2 linked regions of the Anolis sagrei genome follow. The protein of the gene in region 1 purifies or fractionates together with the protein of each later gene. This does not show direct contact. Links are inferred from orthologs where the notes say so. Each region holds a gene or a part of one and is shown in the gene's direction. Other genes may lie near its edges.

Region 1 (7,510 bases):
TTTACTTGTAAAAGTCCTCTGCCACCAGACTTTCTAGGCAGATAGAGCTGGTCAACATCACTGCGAGGATGTAGTGAATTATGAATGGTCATGAGTTTTCTTGTTTTTCTGTCCAAATTGTCCAGTTCTGCCTGTGTCCAGTTTATGATGTCAACAGTATATCTTATGACAGGTATGGCCCAGGTATTTATGGCCTTGATGGTATTGCCTCCACTGAGCTTGCTTTTGAGAATTTTTCTGACCCTTTGAATGTATTCTTTGCTGACCATGTTCATGTTTGATGTTGTCCAGCCGTAGTATGCCCAGATATTTATAGGCCTCTGGCTGGTGACACTTGATCGCTTGGCCATTGGGAATATTATAAAGTATTATTATTATTATTATTATTATTATTATTATTATTACTATTATTATGGTCAAAGGACATTTAGTACAATGCCAAGTTTTTTATCTTTGTGTTTTTAAATATATTACAACTGTACCCTCGGTTTGCTTCTGATGTGATAAATGTTGTTGTTGTTGTTGTTGTTTCCTGCTCTTGAGTGAGATCTAAACGAGGCTCACTGAGCGCACAACTGGTAACCTTGAACTCGGTGAGAACAGCAATTTAAAAAGGCCATAAAATTGTGTTTTCTGTTGAATAGAATGCACTCAGAGCTGTTTTGCAAACTCAAACCTGTTTCTTTCTGCTGTGGAAAATCACAACCGACTCCTTTTTTGAGCTGGGAGGGCCCTAAATTCACTGGGAGCAGCAAAGTCCATAAAAAGACAATGAGAAAAATTGGTCCTTCACGTCACATAGCTTTTAAACCAGTGGTTCTCAACCTGGGGGTTGCGACCCCTAGGGGGGTCATTAGACCATTTTGGGGGGTCGCGAAGCTGCCTTGGTTGGCCCCAGCCCTGCTAAAATAGCTACTGACCCTTGCCATTTGGGCAAGGGAGAGCTGCCCAGCACCCGTGCCGTTCCGAGTTCGGAAGGGCGCGGGGGCCAGGCGTAGGACTACCCACACGGCCTTGCCATTTGGGCAGCCTTTCTGCCCGGCCCCCCGCACACCCTTCCGAGCTCTTTGATGGCAGGGGAGCTATACATCACAGTAGCTCCCAAATGCCAAGATCTATTCACCTCAAACTCCACCAGTATTCACATTTGGGCATATTGAGTATCCGTACCAAGTTAGGTCCATATCCATCGTTGTTTGAGTCCATAGTGCTTTATGGAGGTAGGTGAACTACAACTCCAAAACTCAAGGTCAATGCCCACCAAACCCTTCTAGTATTTTCTGTTGGTCATGGGGGTTTTGTGTGCCAAGTTTGGACCAATTCCATCATTGGTGGAGTTCAGAATGTGCTTTGTTTGCAGATGAACTATAAATCCCAGCAACTGCAACTCCCAAATGTCAAGGTCTATTTCCCCCAAAGTCCACCAGTGTTCAAATTGGGGCATATTGAGTATTTGTGCCAAGTTTGGTCCAGATCAGAGGCGGCCCTAGGTAATTCCCAACGGTAAGCAAACAGGTCCTTGTGGGTTTTTTCGGGCTATAGGACCATGTTCTAGAGGCATTTCTCCTGACGTTTCGCCTGCATCTATGGCAAGCATCCTCAGAGGTAGTGAGGTCTGTTGGAATTAGGACAATGGGTTTATATATCTGTGGAATGGCTGGGGTGGGGCAAAGAGCTTTTCTCTGCTGGAGCTAGGTGTGAATGTTTCAACTGACCACCTTCATTAGCATTTGAAGGCTTGGCTGAGCCTGGGAAAATCTTTTGTTGAGAGGTGTTAAGATGTACCTGGTTGTTTCCTCTCTGCTGTTTTGCTGTTGTAATTTTAGAGTTTTTAAATAGAGTTTTTAAATATTTTTTTAAAAGCAAACAGTATTTTGCCCCCCCCCCCCCCAACCAATCACTGATATATATTTTCTGTTCGTTGTGGGAGTTCTGCATGCCATATTTGGTTCAATTCCATCATTGGTGGAGTTCAGAATGCTCTTTGATTGTAGGTGAACTATACATCCCAGTAACTACAACTCGCATATGTCAAGGTCTGTTTTCCCCCAAGAGCGCCTCAACAGCGCCCCTGGGCAAAATCAACTATACTGTAAATGCTTACTTTGCGTAATGGGTTGAGCAGCCCCTGGTCCAGATCCATCTGCAATACTCTCTGAATGCAGATGAACTACAACTCCAAAACTCAAGGTCAATGCTCAACAAACCCTTCCAGTATTTTTCGTTGGTCGTGGGAGTTCTGTGTGCCAAGTTTGGTCCCATTCCTTCATTGGTGGAGTTCAAAATGCTCTTTGATTGTAGGTGAACTATAAATCCCAGCAACCACAACTCCCAAATGACATAATGAATTCTCCCTCCAACCCCAACAGTATTCAAATTTGGGCATATTGGGTAAGATAAGGTAAAAGTTTTCCCCTGACATTAAGTCCAGTCGTGTTCAACTCTGGCAGTTGGTGGTCAATTTCTAGGCCAAAGAGCCGGTGTTGTCCATAGACACCTCCAAGGTCATGTGGCTGACATGACGGCATGGAGCGCTGTGGTTGGGTATTTGTGCCAAATTTGGTCCAGTGAATGAAAATACATCCTGCATTTCAGATATTTAAATTATGATTCATAACAGCGACACAATTACAATTAGGAAGTAACAATAATAATAATTTTATGGTTGGGGGTCACCACAACGTGAGGCACTGTATTAAGGGGTCGCGGAAGCAGGGAGGCATCAAGAAAGGAAACAAGGGGCCCCCAAACAGGAAGGAAAAGAGGAAGAGGAAGCGCAAGGGAGCCAAAAGGAAAGAGGAACAGGATGCCCTGCAAAGGAAACAATAGCCTCTTTTGACAAGTGACTTTTCCATTCTGCTATTTCTAGCACAGCTATGTTTACATATATCTAACCTTTCTTAGGCCCCTTCTTCACTGCCATATTAAATCCAGATTGTCTGCTTTGAATTGGATTATATGGCAGTGTAGACTCATATAATCCAGTTCAATGCAGTTAATCTGGATTAACTGCTTTGATAATCTGGATTATATGGCAGTGTAGACTCATATAATCCAGTTCAATGCAGATAATCCGGATTAACTGCTTTGATAATCTGGATTTTTATGACAGTGTAGACTCATATAATCCAGTTCAATGCAATTAATCTGGATTAACTGGAGCCCCCGGTGGTGTAGTGGATTAAACCCCTGTGCTGGCAGGACTGAAGACTGACAGGTCGCAGGTTCAAATCCGGGGAGAGCGCTGATGAGCTCCCTCTGTCAGCTCCACCTCCTCATGCGGGGACATGAGAGAAGCCTCCCACAAGGATGATAAAACATCAAAACATCCCCTGGGCAACATCCTTGCAGATGGCCAATTCTCTCACACCAAAAGCGACTTGCAGTTTCTCAAGTCACTCCTGACATGACAAAAAAAATCTGGATTAATTTCTTTGATAATCTGGATTATATTGCAGCGTAGACTCATATAATCCAGTTCAATGCAGATTTTCTGGATTAACTGCTTTGATAATCTGGATTATATGGCAGCGTAGACTCATATAATTAAGTTCAATTCAGATAATCTGGATGAAGTGGTTTGATGATATGGATTTTATGGCAATGTAGACTCATATAATCTAGTTCAATGCAGATAATCTGGATTAATTGCTTTGATAATCTGGATTATATGGCACTGTAGACTCATATAATCAAGTTCAATGCACATAATCTGGATTAACTGCTTTGATAATCTGGATTATATGGCACTGTAGACTCATATAATCAAGTTCAATGCAGATAATCTGGATTAACTGCTTTGATAATCTGGATTATATGGCACTGTAGACTCATATAATCAAGTTCAATGCAGATAATCTGGATTAACTGCTTTGATAATCTTAATTTTATGGCAGTGTAGACTCATATAATCCAGTTCAATGCAGATAATCTGGATTAACTGTTTTGATAATATGTATTTTATGGCCGCGTAGACTCATATAATCCAGTTCAATGCAGATAATATGGATTAACTGCTTTGATAATCTGGATTTCATGGCAGTGTAGACTCGTATAATCCAGTTCAAAGCAGATGATCTGGATTGACTGCTTTGCTAATCTGGATTTTACGGCAGTGTAGACTCATATAATCCAGTTCAAAGCAGATAATCTGGATTAACTGCTTTGATGATATAGATTTTATGGCAATGTAGACTCATATAATCCAGTTCAAAGCAAATAATCTGGATGATCTGGTTTTACTCTAGTTTTCCAGTGAATATTTCCTCTAGTTTCAACCAATGCAACATAGTCTGTGCAACTAAAACAAAGTTTCAAAATTAAGGACTGTACCATGAAACAGGAAATAACACCTTCAAACCAGGAACAGACCCCTTTCCCAACAATTCTGTTACTTCATCGTGGAATCATTACAACCTAGAGTGGGAAGGGAACCCCCAAGGCCATCCAGTCGGGCCCCTTCCTGCCATAGAGGAAGACACAGTCCGAGCCCTCCCTACAGACGGCCATCCAGCCTCTCGGGAGAAAGCCCTCCTTCCCGAGGGAAGCAAGGGGAGGGTCCAAGCAACGAAGGAGGGCGAAGGGGGCGGACTCAGGAGGAGACTGAGGAGGAGGAGGAGGAGGAGGAAGGAGGACGGAGGACCTTCAGTCTCTTCGCCTCCGGAGCAGCCATGGTGAGTGTTGCTATGATTGCAGAGGCTGGATGGCCATCTGTCGGGAGGGTTTTGATGGTGTTTCATGACAGAAAGAAGAGAGTCAGGCTGGGTGGCCCTTGGGGTCCCTTCCACCTCTAGTATTCTATTATTATTATTATTAGTAGTAGTAGTAGTAGTAGTAGTAGTATGCAGAGGATGAATGGCCATCTGTCAGGAGGGTTTTGATGGTGTTTCATGACAGAAAGAAGAAAGTCAGGCTGGGTGGCCCTTGGGGTCCCTTCCACCTCTAGTATTCTATTATTATTATTATTATTATTAGTAGTAGTAGTAGTAGTAGTAGTAGTATGCAGAGGATAAATGGCCATCTGTCCGTAGGGTTTTGTTGGTGCTTTTCTTGCATAATGGCACAAAGAAGGGTGTTGGGTGGATGACCTTTGGGAGTCTCTTCCAACTCTAGCCTTCTATGATGATGATGATGATGATGCAGAGGCTGAATGGCCATCTGTCAGGAGGGTTTTGATTATGCTTTTCCTGCATAATGGCAGAAAGAATGGGGTTGGGATGGGTGGACCTTGGGGTCCCTTCCAATTCTAGTATTCTATTATTATTATTAGCAGTAGTAGTAGTATTATGCAGAGGATGGATGGCCATCTGTCAGTAAGGTTTTGTTGGTGCTTTTCCTACATAATGGCACAAAGAAGGGTGTTGGGTGTATGACCTTTGGGAGTCCCTTCCAACTCTAGTCTTCTATTATTATTATTGGTATTATTATTATTATTATTATTATTATTATTATTATTATTATTATGCAGGCTGGATGGACATGTCCGGAGGGTTTTGATGGTTCTTTTCCTGCATAATGGCAGAAAGAAGCATCTTAGGATGTGTGGCCTTTGGGGTCCTTTACAACTCTAGGATATTATTATTATTACTACTATTATTATTATTATGCGGAGACTGGATGGCCATCTGTCAGAAGGGTTTTGATGGTGCCTTTCCTGCATAATGGCAGAAAAAAAGGGGTTGGTCTGGATGCCCCTGGGGTCCCTTCCAACTCTAGCATTCTATGATATAGATTTCAGACACAGGCTGGTGCCAGGAGAGCTTTGATTGTGTTTTTCCTGCATAATGGCTTATTATTATTATTATTATTATTATGAATGGCAGAAGGGGGTTCTGCTGGAAGGCTCTTGAGGGGGTGACTTTTCCAACTGTAGGATTGTACAGTTCTATTATTATTATTATTATTATTATTATTATTATTATTATTTACACAACCTTATTATAATCATCATCAGTATGCAGAGGCTGAATGGCCATCAGTTGGGAGGGTTTTAATCATCCTTTTCCTGCATAATGGCAGAAAGAAGGATGGGATGGGTGGCCCTTCAGGTCCCTCCCAAAACTAGCATTCTATTATTATTATTATTATTATTATTATTATTATTTAGACTGGATGGCCATCTATTGGGAGGATTTTACTTCCTTGTAGATTGGGATTAAACTAGATATCTCCTGGGGTCCCTTCCAACTCTAAGATTCTGTAGTTCTATTATTATTATTATTATTATTATTATTATTATTATTATTATTATTACTGTTGTTAATGCAGAGGCTGAATGGCCATCTCTCAGGAGGGTTTTGATTGTGGTTCCATTGTAGATTGGGTGTTGGAGTAGATGTTCCCTGCGTGTCCCTTCCAATTCTAAGATTCGATAGTTCTATTATTATTACTATTATTATTTCTTCAGAGGTTGGATGGCCATCTGTCAGGAAAGTTTTGATTGTGCTTTTATTCCATTGTAGATTCGGGTTGGACTAGATGTCCCCTGGGTGTCCCTTCCAACTCTTTGATTCTATAGTACTATTATTATTACTCTTATTATTTATACAGAGGCTGGATGGCCATCTGTCAGGAAGGTTTTGATTGTGCTTTTATTCCATTGTAGATTGGAGTTGGACTAGATGTCCCCTGAGGTCCCTTCCAACTCTAGGATTCTATAGTTCTATTTTTACTACTATTACTATTATGGGCATCTGTTGGGAAGGTTTTGATTATGCTTTCCTGTCTGGCAGAAGTGGGTTAGAGTGGATGACCTTTGGGGACCCCTTCCGACTCTCGGATTCTCGGACTCCCATCTTCCTCAGCCTGGAAGACTAGAAATATGGTTGGGCAAGGCAGGGGCCTTCTCCAGCCCAAGGGATTTTCACTTTCCTTTTCTAGTAACTAGATCAGGGTTATTGCCAGGCATGTTTCAAATAGGAACTTGCATCAGATCAATCCAACCGTTTTGTTATCTCAATAATTCCAATGTGCCATCCAGAAAGAACAAAGTACAACATGAGGAATGAATGCGGTTTGGCCCCACTTGCAGCTCCTCTGGCTCAGTGCGATGGGATCCTGGGAGTTGTCCTTTGCAGAGAAGATGAAAAATCCTGTAAGACTGCAACTCCCATTATTCTGCAGACTTTGGGTTATTACTCATAGGAAAATTGGATCCCAACAGCTTTGTTCATAAAGCTATTGTCTTCCCAACCCTGCTATACACCTGCGAGATGTGGACTGTCCACAGACATCACACGCAACTCCTAGAACGATTCCATCAGCACTGCCTCCAGAAAATCCTGCAGATCTCTTGGAAAGACAAGCAGACAAATGCTAGCATCCTGGAAGAAGCAAAGACCACCAGCATTGAAGCGATGGTCCTCTGCCATCAACTCCGCTGGACCGGCCACGTTGTCCGGATGCCCGACCACCGTCTCCCAAAGCAGTTGCTCTACTCCAAACTCAAGAATGGAAAATGGAATGTTGGAGGACGGGAAAAGAAATTTATAGATGGGCTCAAAGCCAACCT
Region 2 (8,230 bases), on another chromosome or scaffold:
GGGAGGCTCTAAAGAGGGATAAGAGGGGAGCATTTACAGCATTTCACTATATTACTAGCAGAAAATAGCAAAGACTTGGAACTATTACTGAAGAAAGTGAAAGACGTTAGTGCAAAGGTAGGTTTACAGTGGAACGCAAAAAATAAAACAACCACAGATGATCTACATATCTTTAAAGTAGATTATGAAGATGTTTCAATAGTTCAAGATTTTCCACACCTTGGCTCAGTCATTAATCAGAATGGATAATACGGGGGGGGGGGGGGGGGGGGCAGAAAGCTAGGACTTGGAAGGGCAGCTATGAAAGAACTAGACAAGATCCTTCAGTTTCAAGATACATCACTGAATACTAAACCTAAGATTGCCCATGCCATAGCATTTTCCATTTCTATGTACAGCTGTGAAAGCTAGATAGTGATAAAAGCTAATAGGAAGAAAATCCGCTCCTTTGAAATGTGCTTGAGAATAGTTTTACAGATAGCAGATTGCTCAAAAAAAAAGGCAAATGAATGCGTGCTAATCAAGTCTGAACTCTTCCTAAAAGCCTGGATTACTAAACTGAGAATGTCGGTACTTTGGCCATATAATGAAAAGATATGACTCACTAGAAAAGACGGTAAGATAGTACAAAAAGAAGAAGACCGCATTCCAGCCCGATAGACTCAAGCAAAGAAGCCACAGACTTGAGTTTGCAAGAGCCGAGCAGGGCTGTTGATCATATGACGTATTGTCGAAGACTTTCATGGCCGGAATCACTGGGTTTTTGTGAGTTTTCCAGGCTGTGTGGCCATGTTCCAGAAGCATTCTCTCCTGACGTTTCACCTGCATCTCTGGCAGGCATCCTCAGAGTGTTCTTACCATACATCAAGGGAACCACTGACCACACAGGGAAGCTGATGAAGAAACACAACTTACAAACTAGCTACAGAACCACTAAGAAAATCCAACAAATGCTACATTCAGCAAAGGACAAGAGGAATCCTCTCACCTCTACAGGAGTCTACCTCAGGCAGTAAGAAGCCAGACCCTGAAACTGCTAGTCCATTAAATGCGCTCAAACACAAATCAAGGAACATGAAAGGCACTGCAGACTACTTCAACCAGACAAGTCAGCCATGGCAGAGCACTTGATGAACCAACTTGGACACAGCATATTATTTGAGAACACAGAAATGCTGGACCACTCTAAAAACCACCATGTCAGACTACACAGAGAAGTCACTGAAATCCACAAGCATGTTGACAATTTCAACCGAAAAGAGGAAACCAGGAAAATTAACAAAATCTGGCTACCAGTATTAAAAAACTCTAAAATCAGGATAGTAAATAAAAAAACAACACTCAAAAACAGGGGAATTTCAGACAAGAAACAATCAGGGCCGGCTATTTACCTCCCAACAAAAGAGTCCCCCAGGCAGTAAGAAGCCAGACCTTGAAACTGCTAGACCATTAAGTGCTAATCAAGGTGGTCAATTGCAATATTCACACCTATCTCAAACAGTCAAGAGTTCTTTCTCCCACCCTGGATACATTCCACAGATATATAAACCCAATTTTCCTAGTTTACAGCAGACCTCTCAACCTCTGAGGACGCTTGCCATAGATGCAGATTAATGTCAGGAGAGAATGCTTCTGGAACATGGCCATGGAGCCCGGAAAACTCATAACAACCCAGTCATATGACAACTTGTGGGTCTTTCATTTATATGGTTACATAAGTTGAAATCAACTTAGATTAGAAAGACGTTCCTGGTCAGTCAGTCAGAAGAACTATACAGGCAGTCTCCAAGTTACAAGCAAGATAGAGTCTGTAGGTTTGTTCTTAAGTTGAATTTGAATGTAAGTTAGAAAAGGTACATTTTTAAAGTGCTACTCCAGCCAAAAATCTATATTTTCTTTTTGCTCTGAATAGCATAGGGAAGGGTTAACACTCCTGTGGTGTTTTGCTATCTGTGCCCCAGTTTAGAAGATTTCACCTCACTTTCGGTCCCTGTGATAATTGGAATTTGAAAAAAAAAAAGAGCCTATTGTGGAAATAAGGATTGGCGATAAAGCTTCAGTGGAGGCACATCCCCCCCCCCCCCCCCCCATAACTTTAGGAATGAATGTCCCTTCCTAGGGGCAGATTTCTCTCACTTCCTGTTATCTCACCCGAGTTCTTCACTATGAGTTGCTTGTAAGTCAGAAGAATGCAACTCAAGGACTGCCTATAGAATACTATACTATAGGCGATCACTCATGGTCTAGTCTTCCAACAGTAGAGCCTTGGCAAAGAGTCCATAAGTGACTTTGAAGACCTATTCTAGATCCACAGCTTAACAAAACACCTGCAAGTGCTAGAGATGTATACTGCTGGACTGACTTGTTGGCAAGAATCAAGGCAGCTACCTGCATATTTCAAATTTTTATGCATTGATGAAAGCCTGAACTTTAGAATGCAATCAGTTCACTGCTGAAGTGATAGTAGTGTACATATTAGAACAAGCCCTAGTTATTTTTAGAGATGATTTTATTTCTCACATGTAGGTAGTAGCTTTCTTAAGCCAATGCATACTCTTGGAACCTGCTTCTGCTGTTCTGAAACTAGCAAGCACATGAAAATAAACACAAGAAAGGAAGTACACTTAACCCTTTTCAGATGTGCACAAACTTTCAGAGGCTGCTGCTGCCCTCTGCTGCTTGATTCCTTTCGAAATGAAATTCTCCAACTGCAATGCTAAATAGGCAGCATGATGTAGTGCAGGGGTCCTCAAACTTTTTAAACAGAGGGCCAGGTCACAGTCCCTCAAACTGTTGGAGGGCCAGATTATAATTTGGGGGAAAAAACATGAATGGATTCCTATGCACAATGCACATATCTTATGTGTAGTGCAAAAAACACTTTAAAACAATTAAATAATTAAAATGAAGAACAATTTTATCAAATATAAACTTACTAGTATTTCAATGGGAAGTGTGGGCCCATTGAAATACTAGTTGTTGTTGTTGTTGTGTGCTTTCAAGTCATTTCAGACTTAGGTTGACCATGAGCGAGGGCTGGGTAAATGACCTTGGAGGACCGTATTCGGCTCTCGGGCCCTAGTTTGAGGACCCCTGGTGTAGTGGTATGATCACTAGAGTATAACTCTGAAAATCAAGGTTCAAATCTCCACTCAAGGCCCTTCCAGACAGATCCTATATCCCAGGAACTGATACCAGGTTTTATGTTTAATCCTGATTATCTGCCAGTGTGGACTCATATAATCCAGTTTAAAGCAGAAAACCTGGGATCAGATCCTAGGATATAGGGTCTGCCTGGATGGGCCTGCTCGGTAACTTCGGGAAAGTTGCACCCCCTCAGCATCAGAAGAAGTACTTAAGTAAAATTAAGTAAACAAAATTTCTATTCCACCCTATCTCCCTATGGGGACTCAGGGTGTCTCACAACATAAAAGGAAAACATTTAATGTTGTACAATACAAAAATAGACTTAAACAATTCAAAATAAACAAAACAGAGAATTTGACAGTAAATCACATGTAAACGATAACAATAAATTACCCGCAACCAGAGAAACGTTGACCTCCACTGATGATGGACCTGGACCAGCATTGAAGCAATGGTCCTCCACCATCAACTCCGCTGGACCGGCCATGTTGTCCGGATGCCTGACCACTGTCTCCCAAAGCAGTTGCTCTACTCTGAACTCAAGAACGGAAAATGGAATGTTGGTGGGCAGGAAAAAAGATTTAAAGATGGGCTCAAAGCCAACCACAAAAACCTGGCATAGATACTGAGAACTGGGAAGCCCTGGCCCTTGAGTGCTCCAGCTGGAGGTCAGCTGTGACCAGCAGTGCTGCAGAATTTGAAGAGGCACAAATGGAGGGCGAAGGAGAGAAATGTGCCAAGAGGAAGGCACGTCAAGCCAACCCCGACTGGGACCGCCTTCCACCTGGAAACCAATGCCCTCACTGCGGGAGATGATGCAGATCAAGAATAGGGCTCCACAGTCACCTACGGACCCACCCTGGATGATTATCCTACTTGGACAACGAGGGATCGCTTAAGTAAGTAAGTACTTATGGAGTTTCTCGGGGTTAACCAGGCATGATAGAATCATAGAGCTGGAAGAGACCTCATGGGCCATCCAGTCCAACCCCCTGCCAAGAAGCAGGAAAATCGCATTCAAAGCACCCCTGACAGATGGCCATCCAGCCTCTGTTTAAAAGCTTCCAAAGAAGGAGCCTCTACCACACTCCGAGGCAGAGAGTTCCACTGCTGAACGGCTCTCACAGTCATTAAGTTTATTTATTTATTTACGACATTTATATGCCGTCCTTCTCACTTCCTCATGTTCAGATGTCTCCTCTCTGCCTTCTCTTCTTCAGGCTAAACATGCCCAGCTCCTTAAGCCGCTCCTCATAGGGCTTGTTCTCCAGACCCTTGATCATTTTAGTCGCCCTCTTCCTCTGGACAAATTCCAGCTTGTCAACATCTCCCTTCAAGTTTGGTGCCCAGAATTGGACACAATATTCCAGGTGTGGTCTAACCAGGCAGAATAGAGCATGGGGAGCATGACTTCCTTAGATCTAGACACTAGGCTCCTCTTGATACAGGCCAAAATCCCATTGGCTTTTTTGCCACTACATGACATTGTTGGCTCATGTTTAACTTGTTGTCCACGAGGACTCCAAGATCTTTTTCACACGTCCTGCTCCCAATCCAGGCCTCATCGTCCCCCATTCTGTATCTTTACATTTCGTTTTTCTGCCTAAGTCAGGAAGTTCTTCCTAACGTTCAGATGGAATCTCTTTTTTTGTAGTGGGTCTCCTTTCTTGATGTGAGTTGTAGTTCACCTATAATCTTATGCATTTGGCACAATTAAAAACTGACTTTTTCAAATAATCCAGCCAACGCCCAAACTAGTATATTTAAAAAAAAAACATGACCAGGCTCTAAAATCAGAAATGACTCCAGGCCGCAACACTGCGTTGCTATGGCAACCAGGAAGCGCTCCCGCGTCAGGCACCCGGCGCGACGCATGCGCACATGTCTCCTCCTCCACTGCCCGTCACGCCCTCAGCCTAAGCCCTGCGACTTAAGCGGTCACTTCCGGGTTTATTTTGTGCGCCTGCGCGGAGAGGGGAAGAGCCAGGCCTTCGTTCTGCGCGTGCGTCGCGGTCAAGGTGGTGGCTGCCCGGCTTGGCTCTTCTTCTTCGATTTCGGCGCTTCTGGTTTCGTGAGCTCCCGCTTCAACCATGTCTTACGGGCCGTTGGAGACTTACAGGCCCGGGGGCTTTCCGCCCCGGGATTTCAACGCTATCATCCAGATCTGCAGCACCAATGTCCAGCGCCTGGCACAGAGCAGTGAGTCTATGGGACTAAGATGCAGCTTATATTTAAATGCCTAAACACTATACAAGGCATGGGCCAACTTGGGCCTTCCGGGTGTTTTGGACTTCAACTCCCACCATTCCTCACAGCCTCAGGCCCTTTCCTTTCCCCCCTCAGCCGCTTAAGCGGCTGAGGGGGGAAAGGAAAGGGCCTGAGGCTGTGAGGAATGGTGGGAGTTGAAGTCCAAAACACCTGGAAGGCCCAAGTTGGCCCATGCCTGCACTATACCACGTAGCTACACTGATGGTTTCCTCTCATCACCAAAAAGTTCCTACTACAGGCTCCCTTCTGTTCCCAGACCAATCCTTGGATGGTTCAAAAAGTTAGTTTCAGCTGCTCTTGCAAGGTGCCTAGTGAGTGAGCAAATGAGCTTCGGCTATTCATGCAAGATGCTTAGTAGTAATAATAATAATAGTTTTAGTTTTATTTCTTGTTTGCCTCTTCTCACAAGCTCAAGGGGGGGGGGGGTTACAGCTTTACTAAAATGTAAACACATATTATTAATCTGTATAAATAAAAATGTAACCACCATGTCAGACTACACAGAGAAGCCGTTGAAATCCACAAGCATGTGGACAATTTCAACAGAAAGGAGGAAACCATGAAAAATGAACAAAATCTGGCTACCAATATTAAAAAAAACTCTAAAATTACAACAGCAAAACAACAGAGAGTAAACAATCAGGCACATATTAACACCTCTCAACAGGGGATTTTCCCAGGCTCAGCCAGGCCTTCAAATGCTAATGAAGGTGATCAGTTGAAACATTCACACCTAGCTCCAGCAGGGAAGAGCTCCTTGCCCCACCCCAGCCATTCCACAGATATGTAAACCCATTGTCCTAATTCCAACAGACCTCACTACCTCTGAGGATGCTTACCATAGATGCAGGCGAAACATCAGGAGAAATGCCTCTAGAACATGGCCCTATAGCTCGAAAAAAACCTACAAGAACCTATTCACACCTAGCTCCAGCAGACAAGAGTCCTTTGTCCCAACCTGGTCATTCCACAGATATATAAACCCATTTTCCTAGTTCCAACAGACCTCACTACCTCTGAGGATGCTTGCCACAGATGCAGGCAAAACATCAGGAGAGAATGCCTCTAGACCATGGCCATATAGCCCGGAAAAACCTACAACAACCGAATATAATGTTCGTTTGTGGGATTGACATAACTCAAAAACCACTGGACGAATTGACACCAAATGTGGATACAAGACACCTCTCAGGTCAACGAGTGACCATCACTCATAAAAACACCGAAAAGCACAATGGGAGAGACTAAAGGCCAAAAAAACCCACATTAGAACGCATGCGCAAAACCACATATATACACATATACACAAATATATACACACACAAAACACATATACACATTCTGGGCCCAACACAACGCGTGGCAGGGGGCGGCTAGTTAAATCAACAAATTAACAACACAAAGTCAATATAAAGTGAAAACAAACATATTAAATTGACACCAAACCATCATCCATCAATAAAACAATAATTATGTTGTTTAAAACCCATTAAAACATCTCAGTCACTGGTCTGGTTAAATAAAGATAATAAAATCCAGTTAAAAGTTGTTTCCATTAAATCAACCGCTGGATGTTATTATATTTAATGGTGCTCCATGCAGTCATGCTGGCCACATTACTTTGGAGGTGTCTACGGACAATGCCAGCTCTTTGGCTTAAAAATGGAGATGAGCACCAACCTCCAGAGTCGGACACAACTAGACTTAATGTCAAGGGGAAACCTTTGTCATTTTATTGCCATAAGCCTGTTTATAAAGCCAGGCTTTCAATTCCTTCTGGAACATCAAAGCATAGAAGCTTGCCTGATCTCCCTGAGGAGGGTGTTCCAGAGCTAGTGGGCTACTACCGAGAAGGCCCTCTCCTTCATCCCCACCAACTGCGCTTGTGATGGAGGTGGGACTATGAGAAGACCCCCCTCCCCCAAAGCAAATCTTAAAGTCTGAACAGAGATGTGGTTGCATAAATAGTCAGGACCCAAACCGTATAGGGCTTTATAGGTAATAATCTGCAATTTGAATTGGGCCCAGAAACATATAGGCAGCCAATGGAGCTGCTTATCCAAGTCCTCAGTCTAGCTTGGAGGTCTGTTGTAGACCTCAGCAACACTCATTTAGTTTCTTTTCCACTTTATTTTTCCCCAGATACACTCAACCTGGCTTCCAAGATTTGATAAACTCCTGCCTATGCAAATACTCTCCTAGATAACTCCGCTTAAAGCCCTTCTCGTCAAATGTGCGAGGCTCCTAGCAAAAAACATTTCTACCAACCTCTGGGAGGTGGAAGTCATCCTTTGCCAGAAGTCCAACTTTATTAAACCTCAGACCAGGAAGTCAATTTGTTTCTATTGGCACTATCTGCAAATACAGTTATTCGCTTCTGTTATCCTTCTCTCCCTTCCTGGGTCACAGCCTTGAACTGGGAGAACAGATGAAATTATGACCTCAAGATCCTTCGTTTTCCTACCCATAGCCTCATAATCCTATGTGATCTACCCAAGGCTCGGCCTTGCATTGCCATTGGTTCCCACAGGCACCAAAATGATCTGTTGGATTGACAGGCTTTGTCAGCCTGTGTTTTGTAATCATTATCTTTACAATAGCAAGAGAGGTTTTTTTAATTCTCTGAATTTGACTATATTTCATTCATTGAAAGACAACTTTGTGTTGCATCAAATAATTCAACACATTGGGAAGTGTGTTGGCTAGTAAAATTGCATTTTGAAATACTTTGCACATTACCGAAATTGAAGCCAATGCAATCTATTCAGATAAGCATAGTTTCTATCAGAATATGAGTTGAGACATATTTTCTTAG

The links.
Region 2: the proteins of VAMP5 (region 1) and STX12 purify together in Homo sapiens (affinity purification with mass spectrometry; 3 studies listed by BioGRID and IntAct, with this or other methods). This does not show direct contact. The link is inferred for Anolis sagrei from reciprocal best matches to the Homo sapiens genes VAMP5 and STX12.

Annotation. Positions count from the first base shown.
Region 1 is NC_090027.1:22,924,887-22,932,396, forward strand, and holds the start of VAMP5 (vesicle-associated membrane protein 5), read left to right. Parts: upstream 1-4,471; 5' UTR 4,472-4,670; coding exon 4,671-4,673; intron 4,674-7,510. UniProt on the Homo sapiens protein: May participate in trafficking events that are associated with myogenesis, such as myoblast fusion and/or GLUT4 trafficking.
Region 2 is NC_090034.1:86,897,606-86,905,835, forward strand, and holds the start of STX12 (syntaxin-12), read left to right. Parts: upstream 1-5,098; 5' UTR 5,099-5,237; coding exon 5,238-5,346; intron 5,347-8,230. UniProt on the Homo sapiens protein: SNARE promoting fusion of transport vesicles with target membranes. Together with SNARE STX6, promotes movement of vesicles from endosomes to the cell membrane, and may therefore function in the endocytic recycling pathway.